Neodiprion lecontei: one gene and its partner. The protein of the gene in region 2 purifies or fractionates together with the protein of the main gene of each other region. This does not show direct contact. Links are inferred from orthologs where the notes say so. Each region holds a gene or a part of one and is shown on either strand. Other genes may lie near its edges. The genes, in order: chromatin assembly factor 1 subunit B and chromatin assembly factor 1 subunit A.

What was found.
Region 1: the proteins of chromatin assembly factor 1 subunit A (region 2) and chromatin assembly factor 1 subunit B purify together in Drosophila melanogaster (affinity purification with western blotting; 3 studies listed by BioGRID, with this or other methods). This does not show direct contact. The link is inferred for Neodiprion lecontei from reciprocal best matches to the Drosophila melanogaster genes Caf1-180 and Caf1-105.

What each region holds. Positions count from the first base shown.
Region 1 is NC_060260.1:4,634,164-4,650,536, reverse strand, and holds chromatin assembly factor 1 subunit B, read left to right. Parts: upstream 1-8,582; 5' UTR 8,583-8,883; coding exon 8,884-9,024; intron 9,025-9,177; coding exon 9,178-9,310; intron 9,311-9,388; coding exon 9,389-9,698; intron 9,699-9,776; coding exon 9,777-10,040; intron 10,041-10,149; coding exon 10,150-10,377; intron 10,378-10,459; coding exon 10,460-10,988; 3' UTR 10,989-11,001; intron 11,002-11,082; exon of another isoform or gene 11,083-11,219; coding exon of another isoform or gene 11,220-11,273; intron 11,274-11,381; coding exon of another isoform or gene 11,382-11,547; 3' UTR 11,548-11,694; downstream 11,695-16,373. Other genes in the region: ADAM 17-like protease, read right to left, coding at 1-117, 226-434, 496-576, 652-806, 902-1,040, 1,130-1,324, 1,399-1,607, 1,665-1,815 and 4 more; cysteine and histidine-rich domain-containing protein morgana, read left to right, coding at 3,095-3,176, 3,301-3,860, 3,972-4,160, 4,293-4,499; cell division cycle 5-like protein, read right to left, coding at 4,706-4,936, 5,055-5,228, 5,316-5,423, 5,545-5,712, 5,798-5,916, 6,006-6,180, 6,289-6,548, 6,647-6,821 and 5 more; peroxiredoxin-2, read right to left, coding at 11,220-11,273, 11,382-11,547, 11,695-11,934, 12,017-12,134, 12,546-12,711; 39S ribosomal protein L32, mitochondrial, read left to right, coding at 14,015-14,105, 14,507-14,761, 14,923-15,065, 15,181-15,300.
Region 2 is NC_060263.1:21,166,333-21,181,786, reverse strand, and holds the start of chromatin assembly factor 1 subunit A, read right to left. Parts: upstream 7,503-15,454; 5' UTR 6,914-7,502; intron 6,806-6,913; 5' UTR 6,796-6,805; coding exon 6,714-6,795; intron 6,493-6,713; coding exon 5,507-6,492; intron 5,407-5,506; coding exon 5,276-5,406; intron 5,121-5,275; coding exon 4,741-5,120; intron 4,031-4,740; coding exon 3,861-4,030; intron 1-3,860. Other genes in the region: G-patch domain and KOW motifs-containing protein, read left to right, coding at 7,641-7,780, 7,858-8,242, 9,587-9,690, 9,818-10,128, 10,328-10,770; omega-amidase NIT2, read left to right, coding at 11,776-12,067, 13,574-13,758, 14,770-14,938, 15,015-15,248.

The DNA of each region.
Region 1 (16,373 bases), on a different chromosome or scaffold from region 2:
TCACTCGATGCCCCAGTGCATCTTGATTCCTGTTCACATGTAGCGTACTGAGCATCGCGGCACTTTATCGCAACTGGCATGAATGCACAGTTTTGGCAGCACGGAGAGTTCTTATCGCTGTTGAATTAGAAAAACAAAACGATGTTAGATGTATTGAATCTCGCAGTATGTCTTATCTTTTTTAAGCAAGTTATGTGTTTTTGTAGGATTGAAGTCCCATCTCACCTGCAGACGGCGCCTTCGTTACGACGTAGTTTACAGTTCTTATCGCAACAAGAATCATTGTCTTCTGTACCCAAAAGACCTGCGTCACACTCCTCATCGCCCTCTACTCTCAAATTTCCACAGAACGATTCTTCTGGTTCAGAGAAGCATCGGCCGGACTTTGCTTGCAGTACTTTTCTGATTGAGCGTAAACTGCATGGAGAAAAGCGCTGCGCAAAATGTAAGTATTATTTCTCTTGGCCATTTGTTAATTTTAGTTAGAAATATTACCTTATTATTGACGTCATATCCACTAACGCTGTATGTATACATCAAATAAGAACCTCCTTGACTGGCACTAGGGCTACATTCCTGTGTAAAGATTCACAATTTATAAGTGTCGGCCTATGTTAGGAACAAATTTATAAATAAACGATTTTGACTTGCCGTTATATCCGGATCATGTTCTGATCCCCAGTTATGTCCAAACTCATGGGCAGTAACGAGATCAGCTTCGCGTGTGATTACTCTTTGACCATAGTGATTCCGGCTTGAGCTCAGTCCAGAATTTAAGTACAATGTGTAACCGTTTTTAAAGTATTCTGGCAATAAAATAAATAGCAAGGTAAAATCATTATGCGAGTAAAATATACGAATGCATTGATGAATCTTTCTCAAAGTATTCGTATTTTCTTACCCGGAGTGCATATTCCTCCAACGGAATTTCTACGTGGAGAACCAACGTATGCCAAGCCTAGTATTCCTCCCTCGAATTTAAGATCGGTGAATAAGTGCGCCAAACAAAAATCCTTGTGACTATATTCCCGGCTAAATACCTGAAAATTGTTTCAAAGTTATTGGGAGCAAAATTTCTTTTTCCTTCGGTAACGTGCATTACGCTTCGAAAACAAAATAGTTTTTTTACCTCAAGCAGAGTCCGAACGTCCCACTTTTCACGAACCATGTTGTAATGGATCTCGCCCCCTCGCATGCGGGTTGGCTCGCTATGTACAACAATTTTTTTAATTACAAAACCCATTCCCTTGAATCCATCCTGCTCTTGACGCTCCTGCCACAAAGTATCGTTGTATATTTTGTGCACTCTATCGATGAGGCTGATCTGTAAGGGACACTGGATTAGCTAACAGCTCAAATTAGTAAAATTATAAATTAAAAAATAGCTTGTTTGTTTACCAAGTAATTGATGGTTGTTTTCGTATTGCTGGCTCCCATTTCTTGATAAAATCTGTAGTCTGCAACCAGCAGCAGAGGACAGCGAGTTTTAGTGGGCGTATATTCATAAGTATCCGTTTGTCTTTTCGTTCTATTGTAAGCGTGCACCACTTGAGTGCTGATTTCGTTTTCTAGCTCTTTATCGTCTTCTTCATCTGTACCATCAGCACCTGGAATTACAAATCTCTATTATATCTCCTCCACATCTATAGAAATCCAGTTTCAACCTGCATCTTCCTTAACATATCCGCAGGTCTTTGGAACCCCATGAGTGTGTCCTTCACCACCCTCGTAATGTTCCCAGCTCAGCTTCACATTTGATCCTTTATAGACGATCATAGAACGATTATCTGCGTGGGGTAAATGTCTCCAGGAAGGCTGAAACAGGGAGATCATTTTTGATATTTAGTAGACGAGTACCAGTGCACAGAATATTTTTTTAATACAACTGTGTAGTTGGTGTTATTACTTCGATGTGATAAGTGTCATCATCTGGTACTGTTATTGTCGCTGTCAGCATTCCATCATCAACGTGTACATGAGCATATGAATCCACTTCTCCAAAGACGCGTCCATGATAAAAGTTTTCATGGTCTATACAACAGATCATAAAAGACGGTGGATTAATTAAATTTATAAATAATTTAACAGTCTTTATGCCTTACCAACGTGAACTGTGGTTTCTTCACCATCTTCGTTCACCTCATATGCCTTGAAATTAGAATGTATGACCTCTCGCCTCGGGGTGAGGAATAGGCGAAAATTCCTAAAAAACAGTTGAAACACGTTTTTGCATTGTGCAAAAATATTGGGACCAGAGAAGTTGTCATTCATTGGAAGTGAATGACTTATCAATTGTCAACTCACCTGCCATGAGTGTAGAATTCTACTTCGTTTATTTTGTTGAACGGATGATAGCTGTGCTGAGCACCTCTTTTCACAATTTTGTGTTGAAAATGAGATGCGTGTAACGTTTCGTAATATTTTAAATTGTCGTGAAGACTGCCTGTAAAGAAAAATAGCCTGTAAAAAAATACCGATCGATCCTTTAACTAGATTTGACAGATCGTCAATTTTAATTAAATCATCACTAACAAGTGTTGCAGATATTGTGCAGTATCAACAAAATTGTCAATAATAAATCGCGCGGCTTCATGTTATCGAGCCAAAACCACTCGGGTAAATAACCACCGCGTTTTTAATTGTTATTCAATTCAACCCCAACTTTGATCCCATTCGAAAGTCACAAATGACAGTCACATGTGTCATCTGATCTGGATTCTGGCTTCTGATGCACAGATAATAAAAGTCCTACGCCCATGACCAATGGTTTACGCCATTTTTTAGCAGATTTGGTTAAAAATATCAAGACAGCTGCCTTTCTTACTGAATTATGCATGCGTGTACCATACGATACGCTTTTAGGCTTTTCTGCTCGCACGTAAGAATGCGTTGGCGTTGGTAAATCGTATGTGTGGTGTACGCTTGCTTGCTGACAGCTACACATTTACAGGCTATAGAATCCAACAGAATTGTATAGAATTTGCTGGAAAGCGCGTACAAGATAAAATCGGCCCTCGGGTGGCATTGTATCAACAGATTTGGGTACAACATTTGCCCACTGACACTAATAGGCAAATAAATTGGAATCATAGTGATGTCGGAATCAGAAGAAAAGATGTTGCACTGTTATAATCGTGGTTGTGGTAAAAAATATGATCCTGAAAATAACAAGGAAGGTAAGTATTTAAGGTTATCTTCTTTATTAAAATTTAAGAAATTTTATCTTGTTCTATTATGTATGTACACGATCTCGACACAATAGCAAAAAAGTTTACAAGTTTATTATTTATCCATGACTAGGTGATTGCATTCATCATCCTGGACTGCCTGTTTTTCACGACGCTTATAAGGGCTGGTCGTGCTGTAATAAAAAATGTACAGACTTTACGGAATTTCTGAACATAAAAGGCTGCACCAAGTCCTTTCATACGAACGTCAAACCAGCTGACCCGGAAAAACCCGCCGTTGACAAATCTAGAATGAATGAAGTCATTGAAGTGAAACCTCTGGTGAAAAACGTTAACCTAAGCTTGCCCAGACCTCCTTACGACAGCCCTCAAGTTACTTTGATACCTGTTGTATCACCTGCCTTACTGCAGCAAATTGAGGGCCTTGCTGTACAGGTCACAACGTCCACAGAGACTCAAATTCCGATTGGTGAAATGTGCAAGCGGAAGGGATGCAAAGCCTCGTATACGAAGACTCTGGCTGATCAAGAACCGTGCACTCATCATCCAGGTGTACCTATTTTTCACGAGGGGCTCAAATATTGGTCATGTTGTCAGAAAAAGACAACAGATTTCAGCGTTTTTTTGGAACAACCTGGCTGTTCTCAGGGAACCCATCTCTGGCTGAACGAGGTAATTGCGTTATGACGATGTGCCTGAAATCAAAGTTTAACTAATATATTATACATCTCTTGTGATCTATTTTTTCTATGCACGAAAGTCAGCTTTATCTCTTTTCCTTAGGCTAAGAGCAAAACCATCAAGTGCCGAATGGATTGGCATCAAACCGGAGGGTTTGTTGTTGTTTCCATATTTTGTAAGAAGTATCAGCCTAGCCGGTCGAATGTTAGATTAAATCCAGTACGATTGACTGTGGATCTGTACTTCCAAGAGGAAGATTCCAGATATGAGCTGGATGTTGAACTCAGAGGGGTAAAGTTTCACAATTAATAACAATTCAATGTCGAATTATTTCATTTCAGTGTAAATAATTTTGACAACAAACAAATAGCTAAATTTTGATTGGACAACTATATTTCAAGGATTATTTTTGCACTATTTTAGGTAGTCAATGTGGAAGAAAGTAGCGTAAACATGTTGCCGACTAAAGTAGAAATAAAATTGAAAAAAGCTGAACCAGGGACTTGGGCTAAGCTTGAAACCGCAAATCCAACCAAAACGATAGAAACACCTCCTGTCCTACAGTCAGAGTCTGAGAAAGAGGAGAGCATAACCGCACAAGTAGATGCTGTAGACCTCAGTGATCTTTGAAAATGTAGACTGTTTATTACTTAAAGTTATTTAAGACCAGAAATATCAGCACAAATACATTCGTGAATGATTATCATGTATAAATTATGCAGTCATTTATTAATCTTTTATCATAAGTTGCTAATTTTGGAACGAGGTGAACAATTCCTCATTTAATATTTACTTTTTTTTCTTCAGTATTTCATCTAACCTCTCTTATGTTAACGTTATTGCACTTGTAACTGCTGCAACTGATCTTGAAGCTCAGCAAATTTATTTTGCAAGATACGTTCTCTTTCAGTTTGCCTATTGACGTCTTCCATGAGTGCATTCAGTCGCCTTGGTACTGCAGCTTCCTCTTGTGCTTGGAGAAATTTGAAAGTTGATAGTTCGAGGTGAGCCTGTTCGATTTGTTCCCATAAGTCATGTATTTGTTTTGATAATCCTTGTGCACGTGTCTGTGAAAAGATGTTAGCAGAAATTCATAAAGAGGAGCATATTGATAATTTGAATTTTGTTGAATTCAGAATCGTTCAATCATGACATCACGATACAATTCCACAGATATTACTTTACCTGATAGCCTCCAGTCAATATTTTGAGCTTCTTCTCCATTTTCGCTGCACGTTTTGCTTCCCCAGTCATATGAACACGGTTTTCTTCTAATTTTCTTTCACATGCTTCGACCCTATCTTTCTTTGAAGCTAAAGTAGCTCTTGTGTATCGCTTCTGATTCTCCAGATATAGAATCTATAATAAATAATCGATTTAATTTTTTAATCACGTTCATATAATTCTTTGCGTGATGAACTGTAACAAAAGACGACAAAAACAAACCTGTGACAGACATTCTTCCCAGACAGTAGAATAGGCATCTAAACTTAGTTCTCCATGTGCCATTCCTTCCCGCACAACTGCCATTTCTTGCTCCAAAAGTTTACGAGCCTGTGAAAAGGTTATACTTCAGTTAAAATTGGAGCATAGTATAAAAAAGTCTCGATACCAAAATCAACTTTATTTTTTGTAGGGCAGAACGTAGTATTTGTCAGATAGTAACTTCACTTACTTGCGCAAGTTCTTCTGGATCGTAGTCTATGTAGGGATGCTGTTCCAGAAATGCGGTAGCTTGTACAATTGAAGAACTTGATCCTCGTTTGGTAATTGTAGTCACTGGGTTTTCCAGCGAGTCGTACTGAAGCATTGTGATCATTTCTCTCTTTATTAATTCTTCGGCCTGAAATGAATATTTAATATTTTGAATTTTCATAATCAACATTTACTGCTACATTTGATTATTGGACTATTTTCTGTTTCAATACCCTCTGCAAGTCCGTTAGTGGACTATCCATAAGCGGTCGCAAGATGTTCATATTGATGTCTACGGGTCTGGGCATATCTCGTTGGATCACTTGTGATCTTTGAGCAAGATCCCTTTTTTCTGAACAATAATCAATCAAATTTTCATGACTTTTGGATGAAATATAATTTTGAGCAAATTGATAGTTACTTCTGGATTACGAAACTTACGCTGCTCAATTATTTCCTGTTGACGTCTAGCATCAATGTCAGCTTGATCTTCTATTATATTGTCTGAAGACTCGTTTCCTTTTTCATCATCTCCTTCACCTTCAGGAACAACTATTTCATAATCATTCCGAGGTGTGGGTAAAGTACTTAATCCAGCACGTAGCTGTTCTTTCACCTAATAAAAAAAAATGAAAACTGTAATTCTACTATGGAATCAGCTGATGTGCTGATGAATTGCTGATCTTTTCGGGTACAGCTCACTATTCTCATAATTTGAGAATACCTGCTTGTGAAGAGCAGGGGTCTCTGAACCTTCCAGTCCTTCTTCTGGATTGATACTCAGTTTATCGCGAACAGGTGTCGGTACCAGAGCTCCAGCTTGACTTCGTGTAGATGTTGGCGTATTGAACGAATTTGTAGGTGTACCGTCAGTGCGTTGTGAGCGGAATGGCGTTGCCAATACAGTGTTGGGTGTAGCCACAACATTATTAGCAGGTAAAATACTGCTGAAATCCGAACTGTGTAGCGGTGTATTCAAACCACCTGCAAAGTTGATTTACAAAACATGTGGTAACAGTTTTTAATAACGTTATTGCAAGATTTGTAATCTAAAGACGTAATTTCATGAAAACGAAGTTCACCTTTTAGAGGTGTGTCAACATGGGTCAAAGCCATCACATTTTGAGCCTCCTGGAGAATTCTGTCCGTAGCAGCTGGTGTGCGAGGAGTTGCTGCTGCACTTGGAGTCAGAGAATAGTCCGCCAATAAGCTGTCGGATAGTGTCACTCCACTTTCTGTTGCAACTTCTCGAGCCACCTAATAAAAAGTATACTACATCATTTGTATGTGCTTATGTTGACTGAAAACAAGAATAAAATTGTGGATGGATTGAATACTCAATAAAACATATGCAACACTTGATACCTCAGAAGCTCTACCAAGCTTGACAACTTGTTGTAATTCTTGATCAGATATCTGTGGCTCTGGCAAGACCAGTTTACTCCTCTTTTTAACTGGTTCTTGATTGTTTAGCATTCCCATTGGAATATCATTTTCTTTTCTTTGCTTGAGCTTTTGCTTGTCCTTGCGTCGCTCCATCTACGATTATTATACAATTATTTGGACCAAATAGAATGAGAAAAGTTGCTCTTAACACTTATTGGTTGACTTCATTCAAAATAGAATTCCACATATTGTACCTCCTCCTTTTCTTGCCTCAGGTCTCCATCTAAATGTTGTTGACGCATTCTAGAAAAGTCAGCTGCTAGGGGATCAACATGTTCTATTGATGTATCATAAAAACCAAGTGCTGGCCGTTTTTCAAATGGTATTTCAGTGTTGTAGTTTACGCCACGTTTGCGTTTGTGTTTCTGAGACACTGTAATTCCAGCAGCTCGTAATTCTCTTCGTTTCTGAAGCGCCGCCAATCGTCTGGCTTCTTCTAACTGCTTCTCCCTGGCCTTACGCTTAGCCTTTTTACCTTGAGTATTTGCTAATCTAGCTCGGGCCTCCGACAGCATTTCAAGTTCTGGATAAAATTAGAGATTATTATCAAGTATTTTCTGAATCAATGAACGTAATGAATTTATTAGTTATAATCGTAATACATGTCAACAGTTACCATCTTCGTCCATATCCTTTGGATCAGGGCGAGCAGGTTTTGTCTCTGGATTGGGATCAATTTCGCCTGGTTTTAATTTGCGAGGATCATCAGCTGCATCTTCTCCTTCTTCTTTTTTTTGAGCTTGATCTCTGAAAATTAAATAGTATTCAATGGAGGATAAGATTAGCGCTAATTCTCTATTACTGCTGACTTTTAAGACATGACTCAATCGTACTTACAGCAAATATTCGTAGCGTTCTAAACATTGGGCAGCGGTACGTCCGATAATTGGAGCTATGGTACGCCATTGTGTTGGCATTAACTTTGCCAAATGCAAAAGCTTCTCGTCTTCCTCTCGACTCCATTCTGTTTTCTTTATACTTGGATCCAACCATTCGAACCATCGTGCTTTACATTGTTTAGCAGACTTTCTGTGAAGCAGTGAGGCTATACGTGACCATTGGTTTTTTCCATATTTCATAACCGCTGCTTTGAGAATTTCATCCTAGAAAATATATATAAATTGCTACGTGTGTATAATTATGTCGGACGAAAAGTTTCCAACTCAACTATTATACAGGTATGAGGTAAAATGAAATGAAGTAAGATATATAGTACAGTGAATTTTGATGCAATGATCTGTCCAGAAATCAAGCATAATTATTTTTGAATTATAACCGAAGAATTTAGAGTGCTGATTTTGAGTATTATCAGCGGCTTTTATCTCGCAAGGTTCGGCGCATTTGAAATTCATAATCGAGGTTAGAAAATTGTTACTTACTTCGGTGTTGCGCCAAACACCACCTTTTATCATTATACGTGGCATTTTGTTTGTAATTTAATTAACTACAAACGAAATAAAGTAAGAAGCCACGAAAATTCTCGCTAGCATGAATTTTCGCTACAAATTGATTAAAGGTGTAATTCGCTCTCAATGAAGTTGATGGCGTCAAGGTGGCGTCAAGAGCCAATGCTACCAACAGTCAGGGTTGCAATTTCTTAATTGATCGACCTCTATCGTGACTTTTAGGAACTAATTGTCTCTACAGAGTTGAAACTCCCACATGCACCGATTTTCTTCATTGTTCTCTGAACCACAGACTACGTTGGAGCGTTTCGCGCGAAATTCTTCGTGCAGTACAAAATCAGGTTATGTGTAGAAAATAATAATCACCGATTGAAGTGTGGATTTAATTTTAATAAAAATCGGGATAGACGAAACACGGCGCAGTTAAAATTATCGTTTTCTCATACATGTTCTTCTAATTAAACATAATGAAGTGTACGATTCCTGAAATATCCTGGCATAATCGCGATCCTGTTCTGAGTATTGACCTAAAACCCGGTGTAAATAAGACTTCGGACGGTAAAATATTTTGGCGTTTGGCTACTGGTGGTGCGGATTCTCATGTTCTGGTAAGTAAAGAGTTTCAATTTTTACCATCGCGAATTCTGGGTAATTGACCTGAATGAAAAGCCTAAATTAGTTTTAAAAGATATTCGATTTTTTCAACCTGAATATTGTGACCAAATAAATATTATTCAATTAATTTGCAATATTTAATCTAGATTTGGCATCTCACAGTAAATGAAGTGGGAGCAACGGTTGTGGAGTTTGTTGGGGACTTGAGTCGCCATCAGAAGGCAGTTAATGTTGTAAGATTTTCTCCTTCGGGTGAAATCCTTGCATCTGGTGATGACGGTGAGCAAGGAAAATGGAGTAATACAGTTTTTAACTCTGAATTATTTAATCCTTAATTTTTTTAATTCATTCTTTCAGAGTCTGCGATAATGTTATGGAAAGAAAGGGGCGAATTTGAACCACCCCCACTTGCAGGGGATGATACAAATCAGAATAAAGAACAATGGAATTTATGGAAGATCCTTCGAGGCCACGTCGAGGATGTTTACGATTTGAGCTGGTCCCCTGATTCCAATTTTTTAGTCTCCGGCTCTGTTGATAATACTGCCATTCTGTGGGATGTTGAAAAAGGGCGAAGCATGGGTATATTATCAGATCATAAAGGATTTGTTCAAGGAGTTTCATGGGATCCGTCAAATCAATACGTGTGCACATTAAGTACAGACAGGTAGTAGAGCATATAGTTTTCGACAAAAAATGATCTTTCTCCCGTGCAAATTGGGCTCACAAATTTCTTTGTCCACAGGCAATGCCGGTTATTTGATATAAACACAAAAAAAACTGTTCAGCGCGTCAGTAAGGCCAAGATCCCCACGCCAGCCAATCACCCACTGAAAGACAAAACTGTACGCTTGTTTTATGATGACACTTTTCAATCCTTCTTCAGAAGACTTACGTTTTCACCCGATGGCTTATTGATTATTGCGCCATCTGGCATTATTGAACCTCAAGAATCTTCTGAAAAGTTGTCCAATGCAACAATTATCTTCTCCAGGCATAATATTAAGGAGTATGTACGATTACATTACATTTATTATCGGATTTTTGTATGCAGAATTTGGAAACATCGCTTTTCTACTAACAGACATGTCTAAACGCGATATCTTTTAATTTTTCAGGCCTATAGTAGTGTTGCCGTCTTTGGAACAATTTACAGTAGCTGTACGTTGTTGTCCTATTTACTTTAAGTTGAGAGAAGATGGCCCGGTATCGATGATAGGAATTCCTTATAGAATAGTATTTGCAGTTGCTACAAAAAGTTCCGTCCTCATATATGACACTCAACAAGTTTCTCCAATTGCAATAATTTCGAACATTCATTATACCAGATTGACAGACATTGCGTGGTGAGTTAAATGAAATGCTGCGTTTCACAATGCACAGCAATACGACATTATTGCATTTAAATTCTATTTGTGTGTATTTCAGGTCGTCCGACGGACGTCTTTTAGTCGTTTCGTCAACAGACGGTTATTGTTCAATAATTCATTTCCAAGACGGAGAATTGGGAAATGTGTATGAATCTAGTTTGGTAAACATAAATGACACGACAGAAACGAAATCTGTGCATTCAAATTCATCCAAATCAAAGCGTAAGACTAATAATGCCGAGAAGACTGAATTCATTATTGATATGTGCAGTGACGCAATGGATATTGACATTACGAAACCTGTGAAAGCATCTGACTTTAGCGAAGAGGCGAATAATGGTAATAAAGATGATAAACTTGTGAAAAACGTCCAAAATACAAAGTCGACAGATGTTGATGACGTAGTTCTTGAAGAGACGGAAGATATAAAACTTGTTTACACAGAAGAAAGTAACACAGAAAATATAAGTGACATTGTTAAAAAAACACCTCCAAAACCAATAGTTCCTAATGTGATAGCAGCTAAAACTCCGCGTAGGGTACAGCTTATCACACTCTCCAGTCCGAGAAGTGGGAAGAAGAATTGACCGTTAAATTTAGGTAATATATACACACGTATCTTTCAAGAACAACATCCAATCAACGACAGTGTCGTGAATCTTCAGTACGTCATTAAAAAACTTCAATCCAAATAGTTTATTATGCTAATTTTGAGCAAGTAAAAGATTTCGTTGTTACAAATGTAGTTAATCAAGGGTAGATTTTTTTATTTCTTGAAATTATGAAAAAATATGCAATATAATCAGCATGATAATTAATCAGTTGAGATTTTTCGCAAAGAATTTCTTCTTATCCACCGGATTCGGAATGATCTGAAATACAAAAATCATGTTCGTTAATAAGAGTCGTTACTTACGTGTGTAAAAATTAACAAATACAGTACTGCAGGTACCAAATTGCCTCAATATTCTGATACTTACCGTGTCTTGTCCTGGTTTCCAGCCAGCCGGGCAAACTTCACCGTGTTCATCTGTATATTGGAATGCTTGTACGAGCCTCAAAGTTTCATCGACTGATCGTCCGACAGGGAGATCATTCATTGTAATTTGGCGCAGTACTCCTTTACCATCGATGATGAAAAGAGCTCTGTAAATAGAATGAAAAAATATTTGGCGATACGTCATTTGCATTTTTATATGAAACATAAAAACAAACATGAAAAAAAAATAAATAAATAAGTCAAACTACCTTTACAGGTTGCGAAGTAAAGCCTCAAATGTGTGATCACGTTACCTCAAAGTATGTCCAAGATCTTCCAAGTAAACTCCATAATCCTTTGATATCTTATGAGTGAGATCGGAAAGCAAGGGAATTTTAATATTTTCAAGACCTCCTTCCTTTCTAGGCGTGTTTATCCAGGCGAGGTGAGTGAACTGTGAGTCAACAGATGCAGCAATGACCTCAGTGTTCAATTTCTTAAATTCATTTAATCGATCCGAAAAAGCAAGAATTTCCGTGGGGCAAACAAAGGTGCTGAAAATTCAGAAAATCTAAATAAATGTCGGTAAATTTAAAAAAAAAAATTTCATTCCCATTCCAGAGACTGTGAACTTACAAATCCAACGGATAAAAAAAAAATACTAAATATTTTCCCTTGTAATCCGTGAGCTTAATTTCTTTAAATTCGCCTCCAAGAACAGCCGTACCTTCCCAGAACGGTGCTTGTTTTCCAACTGAAACAAACGGTACGCATGGTTAATTTAGATTTTTTTTTTACAAGAAACAGGTCAATATGTATTGGAATCAGTGCTAATCCCACCACCTAATCAGAGATTAGATAAGATGATGATACGAATTTAATACACCTGCTGTTAATATTGTCAATAAGGTGTAATAAATTACAATTTCAAATGGTTGGTATTCAAAAGTCCCATATTGAGATGAATTGAGGAAAACGAGATTGAATTCTCGTAAAGAAGATAACTGTACTTTTTTGCTGATATCAATAACTATCAAGTATTCAATGTCGTGACATTTCCTTGATTTCTCATCGCATTATTCTCGCCAGTTTTAGGAAAGACATGAAGATAAATTCGCTAATGAATTTTCGGCCCCAACAAATAAAAATATTTCGCTCAACTCACTGACTGCTTGAGTTGTCTGCAACTGGTGACCCGCGTGTTTGGTACCGGTTGGATATACGGTGCCACCAGCGAACGAGTAACACGCTTCATCCTCACCGAATAAGCCCTCACTTTTCGTAACAAAGCACGAAAATGCGATTGTAACGAGAATAATCAGTAGCCGCATCTTCGAACGATTCTGCACGTACGCACTTGTTACAACGCTCCACTTTATTCTCTCGTTCTAATCTATACGCCCACTTTTTTAATCTTACTTGTTTCTTAAAACCCGCTTCGAAAAAAAACAGCGCCCCGGCGTCGCCGTCCGCCGCTTCGCGCTTGACCTACGAATCAACAAAAAAGGAATACGCGAATCCAAAGTCGTAAGCCCGCTTTCCATGTGACGCATTGAAGATTGGAAGCATGCATCCTACGCACGACGAAGGGAGAAACCCGATTGGTGGTCACTGAATAATGACAACAGTTCAGTATCGATAATACCCGTTACTCCCAAGTTATCTGAGGATTACTGTAACAAATTGATCTATCCAATTCTGTGTAATTCAAACTGCGGCTTTCAGCGTCACAAGAATGTTCGTTATTAGATTTTGAAATACTTCCTATATTTGAATTTGGTACGCGATTATACTGAAATCGCGCGCATGCATTTCTCTTATGTGGATTCACGATACAACATGATTAGGGTGCGTTCCTGACACGAGTAATGCTCTTGCTCAGGCATCTCTAAGAACCAATCGCGTGCCTGGAACATAAGGCCGTCTTAGATCGTCAACTAATCACGTGCGAGATTGTTTAGGGTTCATTTTGAGGTGTGGAAATCCATGAAAATCTTCACAATTAGTTTTCCCCTCATTACTCATGTCTTTGTTATTAAAAATACACTGCATGTATATATTCTTGTCTCGTGGTTCCTATTTCAGGCTGTCGAGCAAGGTCTGCAGAATATCAAAAATCAATGTGTTCCAATCGAAACATCGTTATATTTACTTGCATTGTCATTGAGGACGATCCCTGCGGACGCCGTGAGCGCGGCAGTATGCGGAACGTACAAAGCATTTCCGAATAAACTGGGATCTGAATAATAAACGTGGTAGTACATGTTCAATACGACGATTCCGACGCAGAATAATATTGTCCAAGTCTCCTGCAAAACGCCACTCATTATAACGCGGTTAGGTTATTGCTGGTTTTTTGATCCGCTGCATTAACGACGGGTAGGAAAAAATCGTTTGTGATTAATCGTCGCCTCCATTGGGTCATAAGTAACTTCTAACGTATTATGCGATTCATTCCAGAGCTCAAAGTGTCGTGCGTATTTTCAATATAACAATCGTTATTCGTTTATGATCTCACATTTGACGCGAAAATATAATAGCTCGAATATCGAGTCCAGCTGATCGATCTGGGTTGTTTTGTTCGTGTCGAGTATCGAATATCGGAATCACGAAGTAATACTTGCGACTAGAAACATGGCGTCCGGCCTGGTAAATCGCGTTCAGATTGCTTTACAGAGATTTGATAACATAATTGTGAATATTCTGAGTCGGAGATTTCCTCCAGGTACGGAAGTTACTATTATCCTTTTTCTCAAAGTTAGGAGGGTCGTGTCGAGGCCTAACAATGAAAATACCGATATTCCAACCTCACTTTTTGCCCGTCTTAACCTGGAAGCTCTATTTCACGTGAAACTATATCGGAGCGTTCAGCCGGTGACAAAATCTCGGACAAAATATCCGAATGAATGAATGCCTGTAAATAAATAAGCTGTTAGTGACGTGCGTTTGTTGGCTACATGTCCGAGATGATTGTCATGGGTTTCACTCCATGAAAAGTATAATCAGTCAATTTGTAAATAACAGATTATGTATGATTTTGGTGTGCATGGAGGTCTGACTATCATAATTCAAAATAGCTCGGAGTCGATTGTATTGTCTGTACCAATAGATCATTAATAATTTCAGAAGCGTTATGTGTCGTCGAATTGAATGAGGGGCAAAATTGGCCGCAGCCGATCCCTCGAAGAAGTCCATTTTCCATAGAGAATATTATTGATAATGGTTTTCTGTGGGGTGTTCCCACACATAAGCGAACAATTGAAAAAAGATGGAAACGACGCTTTGGAAACCCTAAGTATATTTCGAAATTGTTGTCACCGAAAACAAACATTTTGACTTGTCACACATGTGGACACGATCACGAAGCTGGTATTCTTTGCAGTGAGTAAGATGATATATTCCCCTGAGAAATCTGTTTTATTTTCTAACATAGTTAGCAGCTTGTATTATTGTGCTGAATCAGAGTAACGAACCAGGTGAACGAAGAGTTTCACTGAATTGTTACGGATTTTTTTGTCCTATCTATGTCTATTATTTTTCAGGACACTGTTACGACAAAGTAATGGGTGAAACAAAAGAGATGCAAACTGCTATTGTGAATGATTTAGGTTTGAATCCAGTCGAGAAGGATGTCATTGTTTTATATGACGGTGAAAAGAGTGAGGAAATGGTAGATTATTGGAAGGTACGATGAAATGCTTTCACTGATGTTACGGTTCATGCCAACTTTGAAAGGTTGTTTATTTGACTGTCTTATGTTATTTTCGTTTCACTTTCTGCTTTTCTTGCAACGTAAACAGAACAAGAAAATCGTGGAGGTACCTAGAAAGAGGCCGAACTGGTTCCAGAAAAATCTACTTCAACGAACAACGGAGGTACCTTCCGACAGTAAAGAAGTTGAGCCCACTCATCTGGCGTAGATACATTTTTTTGTGGAAAACCTTCAGTTCTCTGGAGATACTTCAAGTAAAGTAGAATAAAAGTAATAATAATAATAATAACTTGATAGAAATTTCTCGAATAAACGAGGAGATCCTAATACGGTAATTATTATACATGTGACTAATCGATCCCTTCCATCCGTATTAAACAATGTCAATGAAAGAAGGGAGAATATAAATATGTAGTTAGCTGATTTATGAAAGAAACCTTGATAGTTGAATCGGTTGAACCCCCCTCATTCACCGGTGAAACCAGAAATTTAAAAAATTTTTATAGATTTAAAATGCAGATTTCAAGTTATAGTAGTCGATTACAATTGAAAATCTGCATGATTTTAGAAAGAAATATCCAAAATAGGCTTATGGCCTTTCCTCTTCGCCTCGAGGTTTACGACCGACTATCGAGGGTTCGGTTTACGAGTTTTGGGTTATGGATTAAGGCTGCGCGGTTGGTGGTTTGCGGTTTTGGGCTCGCGATTCGTGGTTTATGGCTCTCCTAGATCCGCGGAAGCGTTGAGAGCTTGAGGTCGATACGTGACTATTGCCCAGCTTCAAATTTCCCCCTACAAAAACCCCTTTGGCGATGAAATCGTCATTAAAAAGGGTATAAAACTCGCTTCGCACCGGGCGAAAATCACTCAAATATGTGAAATTGCGCCTTGTTACGTACAACTTCGCAAACTCCCTGCAATGCCGTTAATGTTTATCGGATGGTGGCGCCGCTAGGGAAAATTGTGCGAATTAATTTTACCGCGGATAGTAAGGCGGGTGTAATTACAAATTTCCTCCAAGCATGCATCGAGAAACTCGTCGTTTATTGCCGTAAAACATGACAACTGCGTTTCATCTGCAATTAAATAAGGACAATTAACGTGCCGGTCAAACCCGCCGCTCCAGATTTCATCTGAACGTCTGATATTACTTTAGACTGATAATTACGTTTGCTGTAATTGGGATCGTCAATGTAATGAATTGTCTGAGAACGCAGTACATGTAGAGAAACTTCGAAGGGAACAAAAATCGCTGGCAGCGTTCCAAATACTTCTATCTTC
Region 2 (15,454 bases):
CCTTTTTTACGGTAGATTTTGAAAAACCTCGTTTACAAAAGAGCGATAAAAACTTAATTCGGTACTGTTGGTTGGTTTCAAATAACGGTATAATAATCGTAGCAGACACTGTAATTACTTCGTGTACTTATAAATAATTATAATAAGTAATCCCTTGTTCAATTATTTTGAGTTTCAATCAACGATTTTGAACATTATCAAAGGGTGTTGTTCAAACACGACGGGGCGGACTAAAGTGATCCACAAACTTGAGCGTGTGTTTTCAAGTAGGCTGAACTTTCGGCAAACCACCTTGGAGGATAGGGGCACAATTTTTCGAACCGAAGAAGTTAGTTAAATGCAAAAGCGCAACGGGTACGTCAAAAAGCACCGACTGAGCGAATAGCGTTTCATGAAAAAGAGTAAAATTAAAATCGAACTTTTCATCTCAATATTGCTTTCTTGAGTCAAATAAATTTTGATCAAATAAATAACTGGAGCCAATTTCAAAAAACTACGCTTACCTACTTCTAAGATCGTTGACATCAAATTTTACTAAGAACACTCAAATATCAAGCGCAACAAAACACGACTGTTTACCAGTGTTATTAGTGATTTAAAGACTGTTTTAGTATTTTGTGCAGTTCTCACAGCCGTGTGTACGAAGACAAGCTGTGAAACTAGAAATTTGTACAATTTTTTTCCGAAGTAAAGAACAACCGCTAGACTAAAGTTCCTAGCCTTGAAGTTTTCAACAATGCCGAGATTTGTCCTAATTTTTCTATTTTGTCAGCGAGTACAGGTCAAAGAAAATGAACAGTGTGTCGCACGCAGTCCATATTTTGAGAATTCATTTCCTTTCAAAAACTTTCAAGAATATTTATAATATTTTTATCCGCTCTGGAGATAACTCATTGTAAAAAAACTTTCAGTCTATCTCTAGATAGCGCTATGGTGAACAAAACAAGCCCAAAACGTTATAATTGGATTAAAAAAATCACCAGAGTTTGGTATTACATTTTATACGTTTCAATCATACGCCTTTTCTCAAATTGTTAACATTTCAGTTTATCTTATTTTCATTTGCCCAGATTCATATTTACTAGATGGCGCGAAGATAATTCCAAACATTTTGTTCTCGTTCCCCAACTTTTGCTTCTGAGAGTGGGACCCATTTACCCTTAATACGAGTAGTTAGGAGGCACGTATTTCCGTGATAAACATCTGCTGTATGTTCTTACAGTAATGCATTTCTGAAGCGTATCTTTGATCACAAAGGTGTTTATTACATCTCGAGGCAAACTAAAGTCGACCATCCGTCTGCTGCGTCATAGTTGAAATCGCAGCGCGATTCTAACACGGAATAGAGTTTCATTTTCGAAAATATGTTGTATTAAAACGCAAGACGCGTTAATAATACTTTGACAATTGTACTTACAGCGTATGCCGCGGCAATCAAACGATAGGGAGACTGTACATATGTTACGGATGCACATGTTAGAGATATATCAAATGTGTATATAAGCGAAAAACAGGAACGGAATTCTCTTATCTTTTCCTAGTTTGTAACCCAATCCATACAACATACCTATCGTTATCGGTTATTTTTTCTTTGTTTTATTTCTGTCTCTATCGCTCTCTGTTTCTTTCTCAGTCAACACTGCTGAAAAAACATTTCACAAAATGTACTTGTATATATGTTGTGGTGGATCTTGGAAATACAACCTACAACACTTATACTACAAGGTCAAGATCATTATCAAGTACTTGTATATATGTTGTCTTCGTCACAGAACCACTTTTTTTACAACCTCTTGAATGCATTTCATGATTTCCCAGATTGTAGCACTGGGCGGGAGAATCCCCAACGTCTTTTTTCAGATTTTCACAAACGATATGGGGATCAAGTAGAAACAGTATCATATACGAGATGCAATACAAGAAAATTCTATATACATGTGAAATTTCTGATCGCAATCAAATTTCCATCCTATTAACCATGCTTGATTTTTGTCCAGCCAAATATTGTTTTTCTTATAGTTTGACATTAATGATTATCTATTTATAAAGTAACAGTTACACTAGTTTCCAAAATTAGAATGAAACAAATGCGAAATTGCAAAAAAAATAATCCAACATAAATGTTTTTGTATCAATTTTATGTATAATTCTTTTTGTCACTTTGAAAATTATCAGTACGATCATTCTATTAGTTTATCTATGATTTTCCGGCAAAAACATATTCCCAACTAATTATTTTTCTGTCAATATTCCGCTCATTTTACTCTTTATACTTTGACACTGTGAAATTACAGTAACTAACATAATGTTTTTTTTTTTATACATATATAATCATTTAGCCGTGAATTTCATTGGTTGAATTCTCTGACCTTACTTTTCACCATCGACTGCCAGAAATTTCTGCCTTAAAACTTTAAAAAAAAAATATGGCTCTACGCGTTCGGTAATTGCATATTAAATCACTGATTTTCGAAATGAACCTATGATGTAATCTTTGTATAAAAATTCGATCTTCTTACCCCATGACGATACGAACCAAGGTAAAGGTTTTTTCCAACATTAGAAATAATTTCTGCACTAACGATTTGAGAATTACATTGTCGTAAAAATCGATGTCGCGAAATCCACTTATGGGTGCGTGCATTTTCCGACAAAAAGAAACATCAAACATTACCTATCGTTCATCCTTAAAAATAATAGCATTCTATCAATTTTTGTTTTCATATGCAACGGTTTATAAGATAGCTCGGTAGTTGTTAGGAATCAAAATTCAACGAAATGAACAGAAAATTACTTGTCATGTACAACGAAAACGAATTGGATTACGAAACCAGTACAAACCAGTACCAGTATGTAGCCTAGGGTGGTCGTCATTTAGAATGTTGCCGAATTTATTCCGGATCACCCCACCCAAACCAACTATAAATAATTCAAAAACAATTCACAATTTTTTTCAGATTTTTATATCAACCGTAACCCGTGCCTGTAAGAGGAAGGATTTCCCAATTTAAAATACACGTGTTTCGGACACGTTCTTAGTATATATTTTGCTGTAAGACTAATAATGTTCAAAAAAATCCATGAATGTGAGGTTCTAGTGAGCATTAGTGCTACTATCTGAGAAAAAATTCACATCATCATACCAAGTAATATAGACAATTGCATTTCTTATAGATAAAAAGAAAACGTCAAATTTCTAGAGTGTGCAATTCGTCGAGATTGGTTGGTATGGTGATGTGAATTTTTTCTCAGATAGTAGTACTAATACTCACTAAATATTCGCAATTACAGATTGATTCGAACATCGTCACTCTTACAATAAAATATATGCTGAGAATGTATCTGAAACAGGTGTATTTTAAATGGTGATATCCATCCATTTACAGGCACGGGTTAGAATTGATATAAAAATCTGAAAGAATTGGGAAATTGTTTTTGAATTATTTATAGTTGATTTGGGGGGTAGTCTGAAAAAAAATCATCAACACCCCAAGTAAGGATCACCCTAATGTAGCCATCATTTTTTTTTTTAATTCATCGTTCAAAAAGATGGTTTAACACCCGCAAGATAATTCTACCCATATCTTTTAGTTCTTTTTGTGATGGCAATTAAAAATTATTAGCATGGATGAATATAAAACCGATAGTTGCACGATTGACACTGACAAACATGTAATACACTTTTTGGAAATAATTCAATGCATTGAAATGTTAATCTTGTTCGTTTCTTCTCCACATTTTTTAATACATACGTTCTGTATTAAAGGTTAAACCATCGGTTCTGGTTTAACGTTCCGACTAAATGTCTGCCAAGCCAAAGCAAAAACGCATAAATAAATGCAAAACTTGTAAGTACTTACCGGATCTTTAGCAAACGGTTTCCGTGGCTTTATATGCGTACTTTTCTTCCTCCACGTTCCCCAAAAGGGTGGTCGACGATTCTCGGCGAACATAAAGAACTTGGGATGATGCTTTTCTACAACTGCGGCATCCCCTTGGTCCACCGCATCAGAGGAACTATCTTCTTCATCTGTATAACATATTATCAAGATTACTTTGCATGGTGCGAAATAGATAACCCTTACTTTATTATCTTTACTTATATATCTGAACTATAAATCAAATGAGTTTTGTAGTAACTGACGTAGACATTGTCCTTTGAAATTTAATAATCCATATACCATCCACTGTGAAAACAATTTTTTCAATTTGATTACTGATTACCTGGATAATTATTTTATAGCTTTTATTTACGTTTTCACTACTTCTTTCAAATTGGTTTCTCTATACTTCACTTCTAATTGAGTTTAATTGAATGAATCGAATGTATGACATTTTTTTACGCCACGGGTTTGACAATGCTCGTTTAACATTTTTTTCCAATGACAAAAATAAGTACTAAATAACCGCACAAATGAATTTTATTAAAAAAAAAAAAAAAATAAAAAACAAGCAACTGGAATAAATCCATGCCGAAATGTACAACAGGAAGTATTTGGCTGAAACTTTGCAAAATGAATGCTCATTCTTATTTTAGAGACCATTGGAAGTGGATTTGCGAAGCTATGTGGAAAAATTCTGGGAAAAATATTATTTCGATAGACACGAAATGGGAAATTAAAAACTCAAGGTATTCCTTGCCACTGACAGTTCAGAATAAAAAATCGATGGAGAAGAATTGAAATTGGGTACTTTGTATTGAAATGCACCTAAGCCTATCGATACATAATAGTTAATTACCAATGATAACAACATCATCCTTGGTCTCACATGGCCAAGTTCTTCCGGATCTACCGACATCATTGCGATTTCGTTTGAGCTGATTGAGATATAATTCGTTTTTCAAGACTCCTTTGTTGAACAATCCATCGAAAGTTAATTTTGTTTCATTATTAAGATTCCTCCTGGTTATCGGAGCTACCTTCATATCTACTTTGACTTCAAATGGCATGAAGTTTTGATCTTTAACTACACCGTCTTCTTCAAGAGCTTTTGTTTCCTGCTTTTTCGGAACAAAGAAGTTTGCAAAATTAGATGCAGCCTTTTGTTTTTTACGCTCAGCCTCTTCCTCTTTCTTCCGACGCTCCTCCTCCTTTGCCTCTTTCTCTTTCTGTTTTTGCCTGCAAAAATTAAGACTGATTAAACTAATATAAAGTTTGCACAAAAAAATTGTTATAATCTTTACCACAATGTCTTGTGACACGAGTAGGTATATGGTATTTTTATTACAGTTCTGACATTCTAGATAGAAATTATACATGTATTTAGTACTCACTCATTTTCAATTTGCTTTTTCAACTCCTTCATTTCTTTCTCTTTCCGCTTTTGTTCTTTCTCAAGTTTCTCCTTCTCCTCCTTCTGTTTTCTACGATTCTCACGCTGCTCTTCTCGCTTTTTCTTTTTTTCCTGAGTGAACAAGTTAAAAACTATAATACTGTTATAACTACTTACTTGTCATAAAAGTCACAAAAGATACTTTGGGTGAAGTAAATATAAAGAAACATACCATTTTCAACTGCTGCTTCTCTTCGCGTTTCTTAGCACTCTGAAGTCGTCTTTCAATCTGTTTTGGAGTTAATTTTCTATTTTTGAATACACCCGACTTTTCACTTCTAGGTGTTTTGCTTCCGTCATTTTCTTCTAAAGTTTTATCCTTTTCTGTATTCTCATTACTAGACTTATCTGGGTCGTCGTCTACATCTTCGTCCGATGATGAACCACCAGTATCAGAATCCGATTCGTCATTCTTAGCATTAATGCTATCAGAATGTATGCTATCCTTTCGATGACAAGTTGAATCAGTGTCTGAATTTTTCGTCTCCTCAGGAAGGAGCTTCTTCTCCTCAGTACTGGTGTTCTGCTCAGTATTTTGAAGTGATTCGATATTATACTGAGATTCTGTAATGTTTGTCGAGACGGCGCTATTCTCTTTGATCTGAGTTGTAGAATTTTTAGATTCTGAACTTTGTTCCGCAGTTTCTTCCGAACTTTGCTCTACGATTTTCTTGGAGCTTTGCTCGAGAACTTCCTTTGATGTTTGTAAGTCTAATTTTACTTTCAATGAAGCATCACTATCTTTGCTGCTGCCGCTTTCATAATCGCTCATTGCTAAAAGTTGGAGATCATCCTTTGATTCTTTGCTCTGTGCTTTTTTTAAAAACCTGTTTAACGAACCGTAATCCTTACGTTTCTTGACATCACTTTCACTATCAATCGGATTTTTTTCAGCATGCTTGGCTGCACCTTCTTCTCTAAATTCCACTAACGCCTTAACATTGTCTTGATCACAAACATTTTCCACATCCGAAACATCCACTTCAATAATTTCAACTTCACTACTCTTGGCCCTTTTGGACGCATTTTGTTTTTTAACTATCTTCCCAGTCCTAGGACTTTTGCTTTCCACCGGTGATGGTGATTCTAGCTTCCTCTTCTTGTTTCCGATTGTATTGGGCGACCCCAATGAACTGACCATTTGAAATGGCAGTTGAGCTGAAAATTAACAAAGGATTTAAACAAATCTCTTGCTGAAATTTATTACAGACCTTAGGTTGTGTAATCAATTGCGTTGTGAATACAATGATTTGTAAAAATTTTTGGCTCATGTCAAATACTTGAAGATGTTGTTCACCAGAGTCCAAAACTTTAAAATTGTGAATTTGGCTCTTGTAATAGATAGAATCGCAAAATTAAATGAAAGTATTTAAAATTACCTTGCTTCATTTTTTTTCTGGGAGGTGTAACTATTTCGTTAGTGCAATCCTTTTCTTCAACGGAGACTTCCATAACTTTCATTGTAAAATACCTGCAATGATATTCGTATCCAGAGCACGTCAAGAATTTTTTACAATCTGACAAGAAAATTAGTTGCCCGGTCGAAAATATTAATAGATTTTTAAAGTAAATTTTTCACCTCTGATTGTTGCTAGTCAAACGATCCCCGGTCTTATAGAAGTATAAATGCTAACGAGGCAAATCATTACTGACTGCTCGCAATACTATAACCTCTTAAATTGACATGAAGTTGAATAAGCAATAGAGAATGAAAAAAATTGATAATATGTTCATGTCATTGAAGAAATGTTGCAGGTGAGATACCGATTAAACTTTGAAAATATTTACTTCAAATTGTTGAATCGTTTGATAAATAACACGATACTACCTCCCACATAAGAAATCGCGCGGGAATTCAACAGGTTTTCTGCCTTGTGATTTGAGAACTTTGTGTACGGCAATGTGTTCCGAAACTTCACTTCGAAGTGCTTTGAAGCCAAATCAAAACGAGCTTGAGCATGGAGCTTTATGAGCCTGAAAAAAATACCACGTTCGCGTTATTCGGATTCTCGATTCATTAGCGCTTTCCTGATCATGGCGGTGACGGAAGATATATTATACATATAAAATTACTGACAGGCTGACTTTGGTACGCCAGACAACTACTAGCGCCACTAGTGGTCGAGATTGGCGGCAGAATCGAGGGACATTTTGCGAACCACTTTTAGCAGCGTGTGTCAGGGGGCTGGGTGGGACACATTTGTTGTCTAGAGAAGCAGTCCATGCTCACTGCCTATGGTTGCAATTCGAATTTATATGATTCGTAGACCAGTCTAAAGCCACGATCAGCTTGTCAAGTGTCAATCATGGCCGACGAGGTGAGGAAAATTTCGTTCGGCTTTTCAAAATCGATAAAAAAGCCAGTTTTGAAAAATATAGTGCAAAACGACAAAAAGAAGATTGATTATATTGAGTGTCTGGATGAGAAAGCGATAAAGGTTATTGGGTAAGCCGCCACTTTAGCAGCACAGGAATACCAATATTTGTAAACATAACCTTAAATTAAATATTTGGCTTTTGCAGTTTGGAAGATAAAAAAGAAGATGAACCGCTGGTGATACCTATGCGAGGATCAAAAACTTGGCATGATAGAATAGTTAATAAAATTGACGCAGATATCTTTGAGCCCAAAGTGAAAACAAATTCAAATGGAGATGTGGTTGATATTGTGGTTAAAAAGGAGCCAATTGGCGCAATGGACACTGACGAAGCTGACATAAAACCTGTAGAATCTGCAACGATAAAACAGGAGGTCAAAGTTGAAGAATCCAAACTGCCTAACACATTGGAAGAGCAAGCGGCGCAAGAAATCCTACAAGATCTGCATAGCACAGAAACTAACGGCAAAGACCCAAGTATTTTTTCCTTACCTGTTAAAGATGCCGCCTCCTTAGCTGGTGAACAAGAGGTAATTTATTATACTTAGTAATATTCACTTCTACACCAAATGCTTTGTAAAATTTATCTACCTCCCAAAGAGGCATTTTTAAAACTTATATTTTATCATACTGAGTTTTCCGTAAATCTGACTGCCTCGGAACTATAGTAATTCGAATCCACACATGAGTGCACAGAAATCGACAAGAGGCTTAGCCTAGCAGGTTGTGCCAACAAAACGGTACCTCACGCTCATGGCACATGCTTGTATAACGGTCTCCTACAGTTGCCGAGCAACCATTTATCACACATTACAAGTACGAATATTTTTACTGGAGTTTCGAATGACGGTGTTAATTTATTGGGTTCAGTGAGTATAAAAAATTATACTTTCTGTCAAACAAATCAGAAATATTCTAATGACCGTTGACGATTCTTTTAATATTTATGAAACGCAATGAATTTGGAAAAATGAGATCAAATCAGTACACTGCAAAAGTAATGGAATAGGAATATTTGAAAGTCTGTCTAAATTTTTCTGGTGATATTTCCTTCTTGATAATTTCCCGAATACCTTATGACCACATCTTTTCAAATATTTATAGTAGGAGCTCGATAACTAGCTACTTCCTGAATCACCGCCTAATTATCTTTCTTGCCATGCATATATCCATGCATGCAAACAACATATCCCCTCTACTGTGAGTACTTTACCAGTAAACAGTCGACAATATACGACTTTGCAGATGGACATTCAAACTTCTGTTAAACGTCGTTGGAAAATTTGTTGAGGCTAGGTCAATCAGAAATATTTCAAAAAGCGCATTTCTGGGTTGTTATAAACGTCATGGCAGTGCATTTTTGACTGGTCACATTTATGAAAACTGGTTTACAGAAGACTTGGTGCTACAAATGACAAATTCTTCACGATAAAAAGGTTTTACTTTCCTAAACATTACTTCTTATTAACAGCGCACCTTGCCAACTCTGCATCGAGATTCTTATCAGCAATATGTATCATTTGTAATATTATATGTCGACTACAAGTTTTAATTAAATTTATAACAATTGTCCTTTTTTTCCAGTCACCATTTTAGAGTTAAATTTTTTAATATTACTCATACCTGTAGTTGCGTGATCAAGTTTTTCATGAACATTTTCGTACAAAAGCTATTAGGTTCGATGTTGAACTTGATCTATTCTATTGCAAAGTTATCAAACTTCTACTGTACGGATAAAATGAGTTCTTTCAAGTCAGAGACCTTAGGTTCCACTGAAAATTACCAAAAAAAAATTACCAATCCATGGTTTTGGTCACTTCTGGATACAAAAAATAGAACTAAATATCCTTCATAGAGCTAATTTGTTATTTCAGTCAACCTTGGAGGACTATGAGAACATTCCAATTGACGCTTATGGAATGGCTATGCTACGTGGCATGGGGTGGAAACCTGGTAAAGGAATTGGTAAAAATGAGAAGTACGAATATTTACAAATAACACTACATTGGAGTCAAACCTACTTTTCCCAGTTACTAATATAATAACATATTGAATGCGAAATGATTAGTTCACATAACAAAGTAAACATTGCATCTTTTTTTTAGATTAGTCGAAGCATCTATACCTGCCCTGAGGCCAAAAGGAATGGGACTTGGTGCAGATAAAGTAACAATGCAGAAACAAAACAGTAAACCAAGAACAAAGGAAGAAGAAGAACTGAAACTTATAAAAGGAGCTTTTGTCAAACTGATTGCTGGAAAGCAAAAGGATTCCTATGGGCAGATTGAAGGTCTCGACGACGACGCGGGTAGATTCATAGTGAAAATGGCACTAGGAGGAAACGTCGTGTCTGTAAATGAATCTGTGGTTCAAGCAGTGACAAAAGAAGAGTATCTGAAAAATGGCAAAGTCCTAAGTTAGTAGATTTTGGCTAATTGTACGGGGTTTTTAAACTGGATTATCGTACAATGTCTTATAAGTTACAAAATTGCGTATGATTTTCATTGCAAGTTGTTCCGAAATTATCCTTTTTAAAAACCCCTTTTAAAAACTTTTCGATGTCAAGTAAAAACTTGATGATTTAGTCTTTAATATATCGTTGAATTAATTTTCAGACTCTGCCAAGTATCAGGAGTACAAGGATAAAGATACAGATAACACAGGCATTGAGAGTCGTTTGCCTATCGTAGAATCATTGGATGGAGAACGAGAGGAAAGAAGAGGGAGAAAGGAAAATAAAGAACACGATGAAAGCATTACCAGTGGAAAGAGAAAAATGAAGAAATCCAGAAGACGGTCGAGCAGTGACGACAGTAGTCCCGATTGTACAAGAAAAAGAAATGATTCGGATAGTAGCGAGGTCGAAAAAAAGCCGAAAAAATCTAAAAAATCTAAGAAACACCGGAATCGCGATAGTTCGGCAGAACGATCGAGTAGAAAGAATCGAAAGAAGGATAAGGAGCGGGAGAAAAGAAAGGATAGAAGATGTTCCGAATCGCCAGAACGAAGAAAGCGCAAAAAACATAAAAGGTCCAGATCTAGGTCACCTAGAAAATGATTTTCATTCATAACGTAATTTTATTTTATGACTACCCTGGACGAACAATTGTATCATAAACTTTTCTTAATAAAATTTGTTCATTTTTAATTTAGGAATCGCCGCTGTATCCTATACTTGACAGTGGACTTGACTTGAGCTTTATACTTGATACTTTTGCAGACTTGTACATAAGTATCACAGTACATACTCTTCATTAAGAAAAATTGTTACATTTTTTAAGATTCTACCTTGACTATAATGAAGTCAAAATATAAGTTTGCGACTATACTGTGCCTTCCAACATAATGAAACCGACGAGATAACCACTAACAATGAAAATAGAATAACAGCGGGGTGAGAAAAATATTATTTAGACGCTTTGGATAGGCCAAACGAGCAGCTTTCGAATCCACAACCCACAACCATTCGCATAAACAATAATATTCATTGTCGAACTGATCATTACAAAAGGCTGGATATGCTGGTGAGGAAGTACTCGATGAAACCAAACATTTTCTTGTCTTTCTTTTTGAACTTATGCTTCAAATACATTCCATAACTTTGGATGGTGTACCTTATAGAAATGCATCTCTACCAAAATGACTGGTTATACATTGTACCTTATCATCAATACAATACACATATTTTTATTGGCTTTTCAAGTTAGAAAGAACGAATAAATACAACAGTGCCATTCTGATAATTGTTATATTTGATATTTCAGTTTTGGCAACATCTTGGTTCCTTCAACCTCAAATAACGTGAGAAAGTTGATGTTAACTGCATTTAAATTCTACTACATATCTAGCTGCAAACTTCTTTCCTTCCATGAGTTCTTTGAAATATATCTAGAATACTATAATACATCGATGTGTATTCCTAAAATTGGATTCCTCGTCTTTCAATGCTGCTTCACACACATCTCTTTCTTATCAGTAGCTACAAGTAGTTAGCATAAGTCGCATCATTCGGTTGTAGCACATAATATAGCCAATCGGACCTAACCTATCAGTTAGTATCTGCATGGCCATGGCATTGAGCAATATCGCTCGACAGTCAAGTAAAGCAATGGCAAGTACGTACGATGATTTTTGCCAATTTCATGGAAACAATTTTGTACTTTTGGCGATCGATAATGTCAATATATCTAATACATATCTTATTAAAGGTCTTCGATTGGCCCTGGTACAACTTGCCGTAACTGACGATAAAGCGACAAACATCTCTCGAGCAATCTCTTTTGTCGAACGAGCAAAACAACAAGGCGCCGACGTCGTTGCACTGCCAGAGTGCTTCAATTCACCTTATGGAACTGGTAAAATCTGCACCCTCTAATTCAACAAACAGTGATCATGCATGAAATCGAGTTGACTATAATCATATCATACATACATACATACTATAAATGCCCGAGTGACGATATTGAAGTTAGTAACGTTATCGTAACGACATATTGGGAAAAAATCACTATTTTCTTATTTTTACAATGACTTTGAAGGATCGAAGATTGAAAAATATGAGTATGTTTTGTTTTATTATGGTTTACTGAACTTGCGTCAAAAAATCCGAAGCTTTGTCTGACTAGTATGTGTTCAAACACAAGAAAATACTAGTGAACAGGGATGAATTCTATGAGTACATTGTGTGCCGGTACACTTTTGAGTGAATGCAATACATGGTTTTTGTCGACCGAATAATATTCCACTTACTTTGACCAGAGTCCCCAAATTTTGACTATTAACATAGCTCACTCATCGCTGACGTAAAATTGCCGAACAGCGCAATTCTACATGCAACGCGGAACAGAAATAGCCGGAGAACTAGTGTCAAAAACGTTGTGTCATTTCAGTAGGGAAATTTTTTATTTTACTATAGGTATACTGTCTAAAATTGAAATCGAAAGTCTGCTTATCTCTATAGCATCTTGTAGTTGAGAGTTATGGTGTTATTGACGATGTGACAAAACCGCGACAATTTTTCGTAATTTTTTTTTTTTTGTCTATTTTCTTTTTAATCAAATCAAATAATACGTTTGCAACTAATATTATGTGAACAAAAATTAGAAATTCAAAATTTGTTGTAATCTTCAGTTCAATACATTTCAATTTTCACATAGCAATTCATAAATATAAACTGTATTGTTATCTATTGTATCTCTATGAGTCTATGTATATTATTATACTTATTATAATAATATGTGACGTTGGTCTATATGATTCGAACTATAAAAGCAACACTTATTCTCAACGTCTGATAACCTTTTTTTTGTATTAATCCTATACGTTTTACTTCTTCATTCGGTTTAATTACTGTCTTTAATGGTTTAGATATTGCATTTATTTTAATTTCTCTGATTAGATTCCTTATACATGATGCCACAATTTTTTGTGTACATGCTTGTTAATATACCATATGTTGAGTGCTTCCAGTTCGTTTTTCGCTTTCTACTATTTTAATACAACTTCAATTATCTTCATAATAGCTTCTTATTTCGAGATCTTTTCCGTCTATATCTTTCACAACTCCTTCTAATTAATGCCTTTTTTGATGACAAGTCTGTGACAAAATAACGATAAGACTACCCGATAGTAACGATCGTACATAAGTACGGAAAGCAATTAATAATTTTGCCTAACTTATTACAGACATTCTTACCATATTCTTTTTACAGGACTGTATGAAAAAGACAAAAACTTTTATGAAATTTATCAACATTATGCCTATACATATTCTTAGCGGGTCAATTAATCTCACGACCGACAGACCCGGTTACCGTCTTGCAGAGACAAATTCAATGACATTATTTTATTTCACAAAATAGCACATTTTCCAAATTACGCTGAAAATGTTCCCGCGGGTGAAACAAGTCTTGCGCTATCAGCTGCAGCTAAAAAAAATGGAATTTATGTAATCGGTGGTTCGATTCCGGAAAGAGATGGGGAAAAGTTTTTCAACACTTGCACGGTCTGGGATTCCGAAGGAAAATTCATCGGAAAATATAGAAAGGTATTTTTGCCAATTTTTTCGGATTACCCGAAAAACTCGTATTACTAAAATTCCCGAATTCCTGAAAAATGTTGGGTTTGCCGAAAATTGCGAAGTTTTCGAAAATTTTGCTCGTGGCTGTTTTCGCTTCTACAAAAATACCGGGATTTCTAAAGCGAACAGAGATTTTCGAAAATTTCGGACTACCCGAAGATTTCGGGCTTGCCAAGAAACCCGACCCAATGCAAACCCGACCCGAACCCGAGTTAAAGTACCCGAAATTTCGGGTACCCGCACACCCCTATCAATCACATCTGAGATAGCGATGGTCAGAGTTTCATCCACTTGGCAAAGAACACCAAATATAAACGCACTTGCTAATCATTGTCGAAATCGGATATTTTACAACAACTACATGGAAATTCCGGTTTTCGAAGTCTGTGGAGCGTGCGTAACGTTTTCAAACACTGCGGAAAATGTTTTTCATTCTTTTTCACCTATAATACATTGTTTCTAGATCATAAAAATTTCGGATTTTATTGGACATTGAACGAAGAATACGCTAGTGTTTTTTTCCAGAATTTTTGGTCGTGCAGATCGTGGTGAAAAATCCATTTCAATATTTATACCAGTGAGAAAAGATGTTTCGTTGCGAGAAAAATAAAATTTAAAAATCTATGGTTTGACGTGGAATGACTCATTGGACGTGTCACACACGTACTTTACTTTTTGGAATATCCGCGCAGATAGTTCGATTTGGGAAGCATTGACGATGCCACTGGCAGTTAGATAAATTGAAGTAACTTACGATCAATAATACAGTGCGTAAAATTGAGTTAATCGAAATAGCCCATTAATCAAAGAATGCCGTAATGTGGAAAATACCGCATTTTAATTGTGCGCATGCGCCGACGTCGTTTTACCGCACTGTTCGGAAATGGGGCGCCTTACGCAGGCCCCGCAGGCTGCGGAAATTCAACTTTGAACCCAAATGTTGATAAGACCTGATTTTCAACTAATAACTTTGTACAGGTGCACTTGTTCGACATTGATGTAAAAGGAAAAATGACATTCAAAGAAAGTGACATCCTCACCGCTGGCAATGAACTTCTTACGTTTCACATCAAGAACTGGAAGATTGGTTTAGGAATCTGCTACGACATTCGGTTTGAAGAGTTGGCTCGTCTGTACCGTAACTTAGGTAATCCGCAATCAATCCAAGCATCTTACCGCGTACCCGCCTTCCCGTAGTTACTCTGCTGTTCATCCTTTGTCAGGGTGCCAATTGATGTTTTATCCTGGTGCTTTTAACATGACTACCGGACCTTTGCATTGGTCTCTTCTGCAACGCGCTCGTGCCAATGACGCCCAGCTTTATGTTGCCGGCGTATCTCCGGCCAAAGTAGACGGTTCTGGTTACGTAGCTTATGGCCACACGCAGCTAACGGATCCCTGGGGAAAAGTGCTTAAGGAGTTGGAGTTCGCGGAAGATATGATTGTCGCTGATATTGGTAACGAACGCATTTCGTCTAATTCTATGAATCCGGTCATTTCATTCGACCGCCTTTCAATTCATAACTCGACTTCACTTTTCTTCTGCCAACAGAGCAAGATAGTCAGAATAATACAAGATGAGATCAGTTTAAATTTTCCGACAGTGCAGCGGGATTTCTACAATAATCGTTTTTTTTTTTTTATCATTTGAAAAGGCCATCAT